Neurospora crassa OR74A: one gene and its partner. Each later gene encodes a partner of the first gene's protein in a complex. Links are inferred from orthologs where the notes say so. Each region holds a gene or a part of one and is shown on either strand. Other genes may lie near its edges. The genes, in order: NCU05714 and NCU04336.

What was found.
Region 2: NCU05714 (region 1) and NCU04336 share a complex: the UniProt entries of both Schizosaccharomyces pombe proteins name them as parts of the mitochondrial large ribosomal subunit. The link is inferred for Neurospora crassa OR74A from reciprocal best matches to the Schizosaccharomyces pombe genes mrpl10 and mrpl19.

Annotation. Positions count from the first base shown.
Region 1 is NC_026503.1:602,139-609,663, forward strand, and holds NCU05714 (mitochondrial 54S ribosomal protein YmL10/YmL18), read left to right. Parts: upstream 1-3,599; 5' UTR 3,600-3,724; coding exon 3,725-4,065; intron 4,066-4,190; coding exon 4,191-4,788; 3' UTR 4,789-5,427; downstream 5,428-7,525. Other genes in the region: NCU05713 (hypothetical protein), read right to left, coding at 1-493, 555-814; NCU05715 (sorting nexin mvp-1), read left to right, coding at 6,307-6,892, 7,421-7,525. UniProt on the Schizosaccharomyces pombe protein: Component of the mitochondrial ribosome (mitoribosome), a dedicated translation machinery responsible for the synthesis of mitochondrial genome-encoded proteins, including at least some of the essential transmembrane subunits of the mitochondrial respiratory chain.
Region 2 is NC_026504.1:3,731,663-3,738,873, forward strand, and holds NCU04336 (mitochondrial 54S ribosomal protein YmL19), read left to right. Parts: upstream 1-3,030; 5' UTR 3,031-3,199; coding exon 3,200-3,340; intron 3,341-3,408; coding exon 3,409-3,744; 3' UTR 3,745-4,279; downstream 4,280-7,211. Other genes in the region: NCU04337 (survival factor 1), read right to left, coding at 479-583, 645-1,446, 1,529-1,744, 1,809-1,831; stk-30 (protein kinase), read left to right, coding at 6,062-6,116, 6,282-6,547, 6,804-7,211. UniProt on the Schizosaccharomyces pombe protein: Component of the mitochondrial ribosome (mitoribosome), a dedicated translation machinery responsible for the synthesis of mitochondrial genome-encoded proteins, including at least some of the essential transmembrane subunits of the mitochondrial respiratory chain.

The DNA of each region.
Region 1 (7,525 bases):
CAGGGACTGCGCCTTTAAAAGAGAGGTCAGGATCGATATATCGTCTTCCGTGGCATCTGGAACAGATATCATAGGCATGCGGGTGACTATGGACACAGATTCATGGCCGTTTTCATATTTCTTGCAGACCATGAATTCAATGGTGTCTTCTGTCCACGGCCTTGGCATCATGCTCGTCTTATAAAATAAGCCGAGGGCTTCCGTAAGAGCGTACGAGAGATCAAGTCGAGACTTTGCATTACCGAGTTCGTAGCCAGGGTCTCCAGGGCTCAGCGACAGGTAATAGGCAAGGGTTTTGGTCCGGATAAGCGACGTCGGGTACGTCGAAGCTCCCTCGCCATCGGCATCGTCAGCGGCGAGTATGTTTCGAAATTCTTGCAATATGAATTGGCGACTCGGCCTTTCCTCATCTTCTTGGCTGGGGAGACGGAAAGATGATGCAGCATCATATGTGTCGATTTTGCTCGGTTCCAGCTCTAGGATACGAGACACCCTGTTTGGCTATTAGTACGGGCTTAGGAAATCAATGTGGTTTACTGTTTAGAATCACTTACAGGTCGGAAGTGACAAATACCTCAAGGCATCGCCAGTGCCATCGGTACCCGTCACAAAGTAGGAGATTGAATTCGGTTAGAGTCTTGAGGTGTTGACGACACCATCTCAGACAAAGCTTTGGAGTCCAATGTTTTGAGCCGAAGTAATCCTGGAGGCTGGAGAGCATGTATCTGATGATTTCAACATGTACCAGAAAATCGGTCTTGCGCTTCTCCATTAACTGCTTCTTTGTTTCCGGTATGAGGCTTCGTGCCGACATTGTGACGAATCAAGTGACACTCTGGTTCGCTGAGGACAGACCACGGTATCTGAAGGAGGTTCGGTCTATGTTGCGATGTTATCGTAAGATGATAAGCTGAAGGTCTGAAAAAAGGGTACCCAAGAAATGTAGCTGGCGTACGGATGACTGTATTTCGAGGACAACTTTGAAGTGATAGTGTTATCCTTGGACTTATTTTGCTAAGCTTTCGATGGTCCAGCACTCCAAGAGGCAAAGAAATGACAGTAAATAGGGGATTGTTGAATAGTAGTGTTGAGCTGGAGAGACTGAATTGAATAGGAACAGAGGTGAGCTAACCACGAAGTAGAATAAAGAATAACTTGCAAAGTCAGAAAGAATACAAGCAACATCGAACAAGGCCGGCTACGACTTTTCAAGGAGGTCGTCGTGCCAAATCTGGTGATTGTCATAACGCCCAAGTCCGAGTGCAAGGGGTACCGTAGAAACTCGCGCAATTGGCAAAACCGATTCCCTCTTTCAGCGCCGGACAGTAAGCACAGGAAGAAGCATACTCCTGTACATATGTCCGCTCAATTAGTAAAGGCTCTACAATCCTAGCCAACACTATCCTGCCTGCGTTCCAAAGCACAGGCTCGGACTCGGGCACTACAGGTCATCCTGTACTATGCCCCAAAAACCTCTTTTTTTGCGGCATTATGGTTTTGCCAATTGCGCGAGTTTCTACGGTATGTGCAGGGTGGAAGTTGCAACTTCCTGTAATAAAGGGCAGGATTGGGGTCTGTTCAGGTGGCCCGGAAGGAGACGGAATGGCAGCGGGGAAAGAAAGCGCGTCAAGAAGTCAGCTGTTGGCAGGCAAGCACGAGAGGACACCTGCATGAACCCCCATTTCGAGACTATCGATGAATGACCGGTTCTGCTAGAGGGAAGGGGACGACACGCTGGGATAAAGGAAAGGACATGCCTCTTTTTCGTAAATGATCGAACAAGGAGCTGGGACCAAGAACATGCGACATGGTAACTCCAGGTGACAATACAAATCCCAACTCACACGAAGTTGGGAACATTGCCACAGCTGAGCCGCTTCATGTTCAGGTCAAGCAAGACTAGAAGGAGATACAATGTGCCACAGCGAGAGAGAAAGTCAGGTCACAGGTTCAAAGACGACAAGAACAATTGATGGCGACCTAGAAGTTGATGTTATGATCCCGTGAAATTCGGACAGTTGCTGTGGACACTTTGGAGATGTCAAGGAAAGTACGTCGCACCTCATTCGCCGAAGGAAGAACGCGAGTTGCGCAAACGGTTGGCATTGAGAAGGCAGCCAGGAGAGACATCGATGTGGACATCCTGATAATCCATAGAGACAACGACGTTTGAAAACATGAATCAAGACCGAAGAAAGAACCGTAAACATATTGAACGTCAAATGAAAGAGAAAGTAGTCTGGCATTCAAGTCGTATTGAAACTGACCCAGTTGCTTTCCTAAAAGGAAGGTGCTATCCATGGGTGGTGAGGGCTTGACTTGTACACGAAAACGATCAGGTCGCTGCCGCAAACATGACCACATCCATGGGATCTTTCCCGCTCGCAAAGAAACCCATTTATCAGCCCCAAGACAGAAAGCAAATATTGAGAGACCACATTTTTGAGGCCCTGAGAGGCTGTCCAATTGACATGAAGAGCAAAAAGCTCGGTCGCCCAGGTAAGTTTGTAGAACGAACGACAATACCCCAACTGCAGACCTACGAAAAAGCCACACATTTTCATCAACGGGAACCACTGTGCCAAAAGATCACAGAGTTCCGTTATGCCAGAGAGATCAGTTAGGGAACCCGACCTTATATAATACCTGTAGGCTACAGCAGAGGGTACTAGAGGTTTGCGGCCTGGGCGGGAAGGGATCTTGTCATCCGATGTTCCCGTCGGTGAAGGGCGTGCCGACCGATTGCCGGTGGCAGGAGCGGTGGCAGGTACCTGGCGCGTGGTTTGGGCTTGGGACTGACATTCCATGCTTGAAATTCAGACAGACTTGAGTGAAAAGCCATTTCGGAGCGGCGCTTCTCTGCTTGACTTGGAAAGTTCCATCACGATCGGTTATGTTTATCCCGCGAAATGACTGCACGCTGTCCCTTGCTCTGTTCTGCAGTAAACGTTATCCGACAGCAAAGAAGGCTTAACAATTACATTCTTTCTATCAGCCATACAAACACCTTCAGTAAATCAAAGTAACATTCAGGCAATTCCAGCGTGTATGTCACTCATGCCATTCTCAACACTCCCGAACCCCACCAGCTCGATTGGCTCATGGCTGACACAGAACCCCCTTCGACACGCCCTACTTCAGGACTTCTGTGTAATTCTAGCGTAGGTCGCAGTTGAGACCCATCTATAATAGGTTTCTAGTATGAGCTGCTCTTGGCTGCCTGTTTTGCGTTGCTCTCAAAGGCAATACTTTAAGCATCCCACAGTTGTACTTGCACAATATTTTCTCAACGCACCTCCAATGGCCTCGGGACACTCAATTTATGATCATTCCGACTGGGTGGAAAAATTCCCTAAACTCGCACCAGATGTTCTTCAGCCTGTTAAGCCGCGGTACAATCACTCTTAGGGACTTTCACCGCACTGAACCTTTGACATGTTCTTGCATATCCCGTGTAAGTGATATCGAACATGGATATTTTGGAGCATCACGGTCCCTTGGCGAAGGACGTCGGATGTGGACCAGCTGCTGACTCAGCCGCCCATTCGCAATTGACCGAGACCAACGAGGGCGCACGGTCCACCCCCGCGACGCAGGTGTCGGAATTTGGCTGGGCGCGGGTCCTGAACTTTTGTTTTCGGGGAAGTGCCGTTGCCGTGAGGAACGGAATCCGGAAGACTGCCCGACCCAGACCCAACCCACTCCCGTGTCCTCCGCCTCCGTCATGCCTCCCAGGTTACCGCTCGCCCAGGCGGCGCGATGCTGCCAGGCCTCCCTCACAGCCCGCCCTTCGGTCCCAGCCTCGTCGCCGACGTCGTCCCTCATTTCGCTCTTTGCTGCCCTCTCCGTCCAGACCAGGAGCGCATCCATCCTCGCCAGCCTGTCCGACAACCGGGGCGCCTACCACAAGCGCATTCGCAAGGGTCGCGGTCCTTCGTCCGGCTATGGCAAGACTGCCGGTCGCGGTACCAAGGGTCAGAAGGCCCACGGTCATGTTAAGCCATGGTTCCAGGGTGGTCAGACGCCCTTGATCGTCTCTCACGGCCGCAAGGGTTTCGTTAACCAGTATGCCGTCCCGACTTCCCTACCTCGCTTGCTATGCGCCATGGCCAAGAACTCTCCAGCATGCTATCCGATAACCTATACCTACCAGATACATGATGGAGACTAACCATTTGTGTCTTTCATAGGTTCGCTGCCGACATGTCCGAGCTTAACCTCGAAAAGCTTCAGGAATGGATCGAAGCCGGCCGTATCGACCCCACGAAGCCCATTACCCCCAAGGAGATCATCAAGTCCGGCATCATTGGCAGCAGCATCAAGGACGGCATCAAGCTTCTCGGCCGCGGCAAGGAGAGCTTCAAGATCCCCGTCACCATCACCGTATCGCGCGCGTCCGCCTCCGCCATTGAGGCCATCGAGGCTGCCGGCGGCAAGATCGTCACCCGATTCTACACCAAGGAATCGCTCAAGCGTCTGGTAGAGGGCAAGTCTCTTCATACCGACAAGCCGCTGCCGGTGGGCAAGGAGCACGTGGAGGAGATCCTGGCGCAGGCGCGATCGCTCAAGAAGAAGTACTACCGCCTGCCGGACCCGACCAGCCGTTGGGATATTGAGTACTACAGAGACCCGGCGCATAGGGGCTACCTCAGCCACCAGCTTGCGCCTGGCGAGTCGCCCAGTTTGTACTTCAAGGTACCGACGGGCGGCGAGAAGGTCAAGGTGGTCAGGGCCGACAAGGTCAAGGCCAGCAAGACCGGGGATGTGGCGTCGGAGAAGCTCTTCTAATGAACACGAACATTGCCTGGGATGGCGGTTTTTCCGAGACTCGTTGTTGCGCTCTTCCTCGTTGTTGTATGATAGGTACTGGGCCCGTTCATGGCTCTGTGCTTTGTGTTGTATTATTATCATCCGCGTATTGTCAGTCCAGCGTCTTGCTCCTCGGATCAGTTCTATTTGGGTCCTTGTACATCATACAGGTCTCACCTACGGGAGTGGATTCCCACATGCGGCCAGCACTCCACTTGCTGACAACGCAGGTGAATCATGAAACTCCCTTGATTGACGTGTTCCTGCTTTTGCGATCCATCGTAGTTCGAAGATGGGCTTTATAAAGTAAATATCACTTGGCTGCGTGTTGACATGGTCCAAACGACGGATCTCGAAGACTTGCTGTCCCGTACCTGGCAGTCGGAAGAACAGCCATTGGCCAGTGACATGTCAATCCCGCAAGCTGACCCCGGTCAAGTCCCGGTCCTGGGCGGTCCCCGGCCATTCCTTCCAGGGCAGCTTCCACGGGGACGGTGAATGGGGGCATTAGAAAATATGGGTCTGATCACGTGCCAGGTCGCTTTTGGTACCTTCTCCATACCAGCTTGTAATTACGTCCGAAAACAGCCGTCAATACCCGACTTCTCTGCAAATTACCAATTAGTGTTAGGGTTAGTTAGGGTTAGTTAGGGTTAGTTAGGGTTAGGGTTAGCTCCGGGGGTGCAGGGGGCCGGTGAGAGGCCCCCGCATGTGAATGTGAATCGTTAATATTGACATATGTCAACCATATGCCGACCATATGTCTTGTAATTACGGTAATTACACGGGTGACTTTCGATACCTTCGGCTTAAAGAAAGTGGAGTATGCACGGACCAGTCTAATGCCCCTAATCACCATGCCCAGCTTCCACAGCGGGAACCGTCCACTGAAGCCACTGTATGCAGCCCTCCCGAACGGGATTGTGTCAGCTTTGGAGTCGGCGCGTGCCCTCCACCCACTCTGCCCGCCGCGGCGTCATCATTGATGCATCTTGACTTTTCTTTCCTCGAGCGGGAGAGACCAAACTTTGTCGTTGTCAACATCACGACCTGCTTCAACTTTTTTCTTCATTTCTGTGTTTCATTTTCTTCTTTTTCTTCTTCTTCTTCTTCTGGCTGAGGTTGCCATAATCTCATCATTAACTTGTTCACTCTTTGGTTCTTCCATCTTCAGCCCTGGCCCATTGGGGTTGTTCCTTGCAGTGCCAATCCTGACGGAGCTTATATACCTACGTCTACACTACCAGTGGCGGTACCTACATCCAACAGCCCTCCAACAGCCCTCCGTTGCATCCAGATTACGAGTCGCATTGCGACGCTGCTAGTGAGATTCTCTGCGTCGACTGTTGCAGAAACCGAGCCTTGCAGAGTGGCCTCACATTTTGCTTCAACCTCGCCTTGCGCCGAACATCTTCACTCCTCCAACCGACTTACACCGTGAACCTACCTACCTACCTTGGGTTGTCCGCCCTCCAAGCTCTCTCCAGCCAGCACAACATGTCGCTCTTTGGCAGCTCCCCTCCCAACGACGGCTCGGCCGCCCTCAACCCAGCCAAGACCGCCAACAGCAGCCGCTCGACCCTCTTCGATAACGAGGCGCCCACCACTCGCTCCGGCAGTGCGCTATTCGCCGACGATGACCACGATTCGCCCTGGGACATGCCCACCCCGCGCAAGCAGCGCAGCCGCGCCGATCTGATCCGCAACCTCCTCCCCTCGGGCGACGTTCCCGAGAGCTACATCGAGACGTTCGACGCAGTAGTCCGTACAGAGAACCGGAGCACAAATGGGCGGATCACAGCCGGGGGGGTTGCGCGGACGCTGGCAGCGGCCAAGCTTGGCGCCGATGACCAGGCGCGCATAATGGGTATCATCGCCCCTGCTTCGGCCTCCGCTACAGGCGCTGGTGGTGGGGGTGATGGTGCCCATGGTGGGGAGGCTAACAGCTCCGCTGCTGCTGCTGCTGCTGCTGTTGGCTTGGGGGACTTGGGCAGGAACGAGTTCAACGTTCTCCTGGCCCTGATTGGCCTTGTCCAAGAAGGGGAGGTCGCCAGCTTGGATGGCGTGGATGAACGTCGACGAAGTAAGTCTTTTTTGATTCTTGTTTTTGATTTTTATTTCTTTCCCTTCTGCCGACATTGTCCAATCCTGTTTTTCGGTTGTGTATCTTCTTCGGTCTACAATACGTTTCTGCCTGCAGTGCTTCGTCGCAACAAAGTGCCGGGGCGCCTTTGATTTTCCGGTTCTTCAGCCAGTTGCTGGCTGGTCATCCATCCCAACCCCGTTGCAACCCAGACGAACCTCGAATGGCGGTCATATGTCAATCCCCCGTTTGTTGATTGATTGTTCCCGCCGACTCCGTTAACCTTTTTGCTTGTCCGTCTTTTTTGTTCGTGCTCTGCTCAATAACACTGATATTGCGTTTTGCTTTTCAAAATACCCCATATTCTCCCCATCACATACATCATCTTCCTTCCGTGTTAGTGCACTGCTTCGCGCGCTCCGAAATCCGCAATCGCCTTGGTCCTAGGTCAACGCCATCGGGGGTGGGTCCGTTAGTTCTTCAGTGTCATGGCAACTAAGCTAACCTCGTTGCGTAACCGCTATCCAGATCTTCCCCAGCCCAAACTACAAGGTCTTGTCAACGAGAACGTCCAGCCCATGCTGCCGAATTTGTCTGAACTTGGTGCGAAACCTCCACAACGACCCGTCACAC
Region 2 (7,211 bases), on another chromosome or scaffold:
TGAGGTTGGTCGGTTCCCTTGCGAGGCAGAGGGGTGGAGTTCAAACAGCGTGAGGGTGAGCTTAAGCTATCCATCATATCCAAATAGGGATCCGTGCGCCAGCGTAAAGAGGTGCACTGACAGACAGGAAGGGCAAGAAGATGATGCTTAAGTTAAACTACGTACCATGTATCACACAGTCGCAGCGGACAACACGACCAGCACAGGAAGCAATCCAAGTCTATTAAATTATTGGGCTCTCCAGGAAGCCTTGTTATGTTATATCCGATCCACTATGCAAAGCGGGCTCCTTGTCCAGACCGAGACGGAGCAAATTATCGAGTCCTTATAAACAGTATGCAGGAGACAAACCGTCCAACGAGTGACCAAGCACCTCTATCGGCATCTCTCAACGACTCCAAACCATGATACCAGCCCTCATTGATATAGCGTGTTACCCAGAAAAAACCGTCATTACTTCCTCATCCACATCTTAGATTTAGGCGGAAATGAAGGTAGCCTCGCTGAACAGGTAGCCCTCCTCCGAAATTTCTTCCTCCCCAAGCTTGAGCTTGAGAGTGAGCTTCTTCTTTTGTGGCGCGTACTATATTGTTTTCATGTCAGTTCCACAGTCCAAATAATGAGTGATCAGCAAAACAACATACCTGGTAAATGTACGGCTTTGTGCCAACAGCACCCGCGACAATCTGCTTGACGAATCCCGGCACCTCAGCCATGACGTCTATCCTGTCGAGCTTATCCTCGAGCTCGCCCTCTAGAACAGCATCGGCCTGCTTGCCGTCCTTGGTAGTACCCTTCCACTCAAACTTGATAGCAGTCGGCTCGGGCCAGTCGTTCTCCGTGTCGCCCTTGATCGCAACATGCGTGACCGCACCCTCGGCGCCGGCAAAAATGATCTCATTGTCCTTGACAATACCGCCGACGTTCACGACCGTCGATCCGTAAGAAGGGGGAGTTGTGTACTGCATCAGGACCGCAGAGTAGTTGGGGCCTTGGAAGTTGCAAAAGTTCCACTTGGCCGCGGCGTGATGAGGCTTCATGCCCTGCAGAGCGTGGACGAACATGGCGCGTCCCTTGCAGTCGACGGGACCATCCGGAGTGGCAATCGTGCCCTCAGCGACACACCTGGGCCAGAAAACGTGGCGCATGGAACCCCAAGGGTTGGCAAGGTCGGTGCCAAACAGTGTTGTGCCGGATGTACCAATCTTGAAGCCAGGCGCTGTCCTCTTGATGGTCACGTTGACAATCGACCTTTCATCGTTCAACGACTTGATAGTGTACGAGTTTCCATCTTCCGAAAGCTCGACGGCGCAATCGGTGGCGTAGAAGCTGGTCTTGTCCTCGCTGAACTCGTGGTTGTTGAGGGGCGTAGAGCACCAGAGGTGGGGCTTGGATCCATCCAGGGAGAAGACCTTGCAGTTAAACTGGCAAGTCGTGCGGATGCCACTGTTGTGCCATCAGGTCAATACAAGGCCCAAGTTTGCGAGCGCGCCACATTGACGGCGAATCGTGCAATGGGGAATCTTACGCAACGTTAGAGTAGATGACCTGGGCAAAGGCGAGCTGGCCGCTGTCCGTCATGAAGTAGAAGCACTGCGTCTCGACGCAAGTGGACTCCATGGCCTGCCACTTCAGGTCATCCTTGGTGGTTTCGGTATAGGGAGTTGTCTTGGCCTCCTCGGCGACAGACCTGATAGCCTCGGGGCCGTAGATAGGCTCCTTGGTGCCGGCGACATTGGCCAACCTACAAGCGAGTCGTTAGAGGTCTGCGTCCAGCGGATGGTGGGGGTGGTGCTTGGAGTACTCACGCCGCTTGCGCCCACTTGAACATGATGAAAGACTGGGGGGGGGGGGTATAGGGCGAAATGGGAAGAGTATAGATTACAGAAGCAAAAAGTCAAGACAACGAGGCGAAAATGAGTCTAGTTGTGAGAATTTTCCAGGTAGTTTGATGTTCAAGATTAAAGTCATTCACCGCCGTCGAGAAAGATGGGGCAGAGCTGAGATGGCGCCGCGCTCAGATAAAAGCCAATGGAAAACAGAAGGGGCAACCCAGTCTGTCCCAAATCTCCTACAAGTACGTACCTTTGGGCTTCCCCGCGGCCGACTGCCTCTAGCCGTGGCCCTCGATGCGTGGCAGTCGAGCAGCAAAGAAGACTCACTGGCTCTTGAAGGTGCACGTCACTGTTCCGCCCAACTCTCCACATCACCTGAGGACTTGACGATCGATTGGACCCTTTCAGGTTCCTACAGCGGGTCTGCAATCACTTGGAGCGTTCAGGTTTCGCAATGCTGTGTTCCCTTGCAGACTTGCAGCAGCTCGAACGCACCTTTGCGGCAGGGCAGGCGGCAGGCAATGACGGGAATGATCAATCCAAGTCACGCCCGGTACCCGTACTACGCCCCCACTTTTTTGGGACTCGCAAATTCGCACCCACCTAAGTGGGTGCTTACGAATAACACGGCCACACCACTAAAACGGCCACCAGGGTTAGAGGTGCGAATCAGATAAACGATACCAAAATAGTGAACGCCCACAACGTATTTCAACAACTAATTGAGAATAAAGAAAGAGTTAGAAGATAGTCAGGACAGAGTAATGTATCCGTTCAGCTTTTCATTTTTCAGAAATTTCTATATGTTGGGAAGTTGTGCTTTACCCTACGAATCGAGCCTCAAAACTGCACCTCTAACCCTGACCTGGCCGTTTTACTGGTGTGGCCGTAGTACCCGTGAGCACCCACTTTAGGGGGTGCGAGTTCTACGAGGTCCAAAAAAGTGGGGGCGTAGTACGGGTAGGAGAGCAATTGGGGACGAGCGAGGCCGGGACTTTCAGTTGACGGGCGGGCTCGGCGTCGATGCTGTACTAGTACTACTGTAAGCCACTAACGGCACTGAAAAGCGGCGATAAGGGACTGATTGCGGCACTTTACACTAAATAGTGTGTGGCTGAGGCTTTGAAGAAGTGGCTGACGTGACCCTGGCTGCAACGGTTGCCGGCCCGGCGCCCTGATTTTTTTTTGGGCCCAGCTTGAGGTGCCGCGCGCGGCGTCGCCGCCGCCGTTGCTGCCGCCGTCGCGAACGAGGATACCCGACCGACCTCGAAAGTGTAACACGCGACTGCAGACGCGCCGAATTACCGTTCCGTTCTCCTCCCAACTTAATTTCCCTCGAGGGTATCTGCAGTAGAGTCGCCAGAATGTCCAAGGCCGCAAAAGGTGGTGCTGGTGGTGTTGAGCAGGTGGTGAAGCTCATTGTCGGCGCCGGTCAGGCCAGCCCGAGTCCCCCGGTCGGTCCGGCCCTTGGTTCCAAGGGCATCAAGTCCATGGACTTTTGCAAGGTCGGTTTGCATGCGCCCACCCATATAATATCCACAACACAAGCTGACATGCGCTCAAATCTGTATAGGAGTTCAACGCCAGAACCGCCCATATCAACACCGGTACCCCTATGCCCGTCCGTGTTACCGTCAGGCCCGACCGCTCGTTCCACTTCGATGTCCGCACCCCTCACACATCATGGCTTCTGCTCAACGCCGCCGAGGCCCCGATAGGCAAGGGCGGCAAGAGAAAGGGCGCCAGCAACCCCGGCAAGGAGGTTGTCGGCACCGTCAGCCTCAAACATGTCTACGAGATTGCCAAGATCAAGCAGTCCGAGCTCCGTCTATCCGGCCTGCCCCTCGAGGGCCTCTGCAGGGCGGTCATCTACCAGGCCAGGTCGATCGGTATCAACGTTATCCCCTGAAAGAGGCTATACGCTGAAAGACATTATACGGGCTTGGGGGCACGAAGGCGTTACGGTTGTTTCTTTTAGGTGGATAGACCACGGCATTGTTACCAATATTGGATGCGGACTATAGCCATAGCTTGTGGCTCTGTGTATCTTTGCTTGTATCATTATTGTATGGCAAAATCTCAAAATGCACAGCGGTGCCTGGAGCTGTTGGTTGGTCCACGGAGTATGATCGTTTGGGAAAGGCTTCCACAAAAGGGTGCTGATGGCAGGCATGGCATATATGGGCATTTGCCGGTTTGCGTTTGCATTGCCTCAACGTACTCCAGCTTCGTCAACCTTGGCTCACATAGCTTGTGTTTGTGGAACACGCAGGCGTATGACGAGGATCTGTCTCTGTAGGATTAAGTTTTAAGGTTGGCGGTCACCAAGGTAGACCGCCCAACGGGTATTATGCTTACCTGAATGTAGGTGAGATGTGTTTATAATGCTTTTGGCTAAGCTGACTGCAAGACAAATCACACACATATATAAAAAGGGGTTTTGTAAACAAACATCCGCTTCGCCCAAGTGCTTATCCACCAGCCCACTTCTTACCACTCAGGCGAAGCCCCGGTATCATGTCGCCATGGTGTTCATCTCATGCTTTCAATACTAACGAGATGAAATGGATGATTGTTTAATATCCTACACGTGTGCAACGATTGCAATTACATTCAATGGCTTCTAGAACCATTCGGGCAATTACCTCCCGCAGCATGGCGGGGTATCGACATGGGTTACACCGAACCGAGCGATAAGGACCTGGTTTTCGGCGGTAGAGATCGACATAGAAAGCTGTTTACCATATCCGTTGGCAGTCCATCGAAAAAAAAGGTTGGGTGACATCAGGACAGTCACTGGAGACAAAGCTGACCACCAACACCACCTAGACTTGTCATCCATGCCTTTGCGGTGCCTCGGTCTTTCGGACACGGCGGCGCTCTAAAAGGCCGCTTTGACGGTGGTCGGGGCTGCTGCGGGATTCATACTTGACTCTCTGTTGTTCAGTTGAAACGCAGGGCAACGAGGATGACAGCCAAGGACGCAAGGCACAACCGGCTGAGGTGTTCACTCGAGTCATTGGGTGAACTGCCCAGTGTTTGAGGAACAACACGGGGCGGCGGAAACAGAGATGTGATGGAATGGATGTCCTGGCAGGAATTACGACTGCGTCAATGCAGCTGGTCATTGGCGTTTTAGAGGGGGAGGCGCTGCAATCGCTCGGCATCTTTCAAAGCTGGAAAAGGAAGTCGGACAAGATGGAAGAGGACATCGATGGACAGGATCAGGGACCTGACCCCAGGTTGCCGACCGCTCCCGGTTCCAATGTGTACTTGTGTAGTGTATGACAAAGACCAAGATCCAAGACGGGACTCCTATTGCGGTTTTGGGAACACTGACGCCCAGACAGGGTGCCCGCCGCCACGTTCAAACTGTTTGGCTTCGAGACCGTTCACCTTGTGAGGACGGGAGTCTGTGACTGCGGATCCGTCTGAAATTCAATCATTCTAGGAAAGCCGGCTTGGCCCGATCTCAGTGCCGGCGTGCCCGCTCTCAGATTCAACTCAGGTCCTCTCCTCCCAGGCGGGTGCACTGGCTGGTGGTCCATCAAGGGTACCCGTGTTTCCCGCCGCCTGCAGCCAACGTTTCCTGTAAGTACCTGTCATGTACATAGCTCGGCCCCACCACGACGCAACAGAGCGCCATCTTTCACACTTCCATTTCTTCGCCGAACCCGGGCCGCTTCTGTCCCAAGTGAACAAGAACTGAAGCCTAGGCACACAGCATCGACAAGGAATCGTCAAGGCCAGGCAAAGTCAAATCAGAAGTCACGGTGGAAAGTGGAAACCCCATTATTCACCTCCTACATAGTGTACTAGTAGTGACCAGTCCAAGCCTTGTCTACAGGCTTTGCAGTTCCATGACAGTTGAGATCGCCGTCATCTATTTGGCCCCGACTCTTCTTTCGCCGCCGTCCCATTTGCCTTTCCCTTGCTTCCACTTGACATAGTTTCCGCCCATTCCGCCGCTGCGTCTGCTTGCCGGTCTGGTCTTGTCTTGCATCTTCTGTCGCTCTGTCACCTGTCTGGCCCTTGCATCTTGCATCACACGGTCTTTTATCCCATCTTTTTTATCTCTGTTTTCCAGGGCGGGCCAGACACCAGACGTTATTCGGATTCCTGCCAGGATTTTACAAGTTTTATTAGTTTGCGGAGACGGGCGCAAATTCGAACCAAGAAATCAAAGTCACCCAACAAAAACAACAAAACACCTAAAAAAAAAAAAGATGGCGACCGCTGAGAAAGAGTCAGAGCAGCGTCAACCGGACGAACAGTTCCAAGGTAAGGAGAAAGGAAACAACGACGAAGAATTGGAAAAGAAAAAAACACGAATAAAAAATCAACGGCAACCCCTCATCTCTGATCCCTACTACGCCAATCCTCGGGGACTAGAACGAGCAAGCATTGGATTGAAGCAATTCGCTGACTTGTAGTCTACTCCAACAGCTGTCGAGCCGCAATCGGTCAAAGTCACTCCCGCTGAACCATCCAAAACCGAGCCTGCTGTCCGCTTCAAGTCAACTGTCGAAGAGATCACGCCAGAGGGCACCACATCGACACCAACCATTGCACCAGACGTCACCCTCGGCGAACCGGGTGAGGTCACCCCCGAGCAGCTTCGTGATATCGCCGAGAGGTTGAAGGCCTGTCCGCTGCAGGAGCGAAGGATAAGCCTTTTCCAGTACGAGGCATTCTCGCTTCCCGCTTCAAGGGTAAGCCCATCCTAATTTCACGTGAGGGGCTACGCTTCTTGCTTCCTTCCTTTGTTCATCTCCCAAGTTTTGCTTTTGCCTTGGTCCGTCGCTTCCGGGGGGGGCTTGTGCAACCAAGATCAGCTCGGTGGCTTTTGCTGGCTTTTTCCATGTCTCTTGTCTGATTGCACACCATATATCCATGCATGCATAGTCACCATTCTTCGCGTCTGCGTCTTTACCCCTTGGGCGAGGACTAATACTTTGCTATCTCCAGACACCTTCCCACGAAGATGATTCAAGAGCTCCCAGTCGCGAACATACACGGAGCTCGGCAGGTCGCAACTCACCGCTTCTTACTCCGCACGTCAGGGGCCACGAAATGCATACACCTCCTCTCACGCCGGCTGGAACCGACAACGTCGACCGAGAACTTCGCCGCGAGAGCGCTCTGGCGCAAGAAAGGCGGAGTGCCAACCTCATCACTCCTCAAGATTCTTCCCACGAACCGACATCACCTACCTCTCTCCGCAATGTCCAGCTGCCTACACCCGACGAACAGCTGCGGAGCTCTTCCAGGCCGACTTCGATAGATGGCCGAGATCGTCCCCAGATCACTATTGGTGAACATCGCAGAGGGTTGTTTTCCGTTGGATCCGGCGGCAGCAGTTCCCCCAGTAGATCT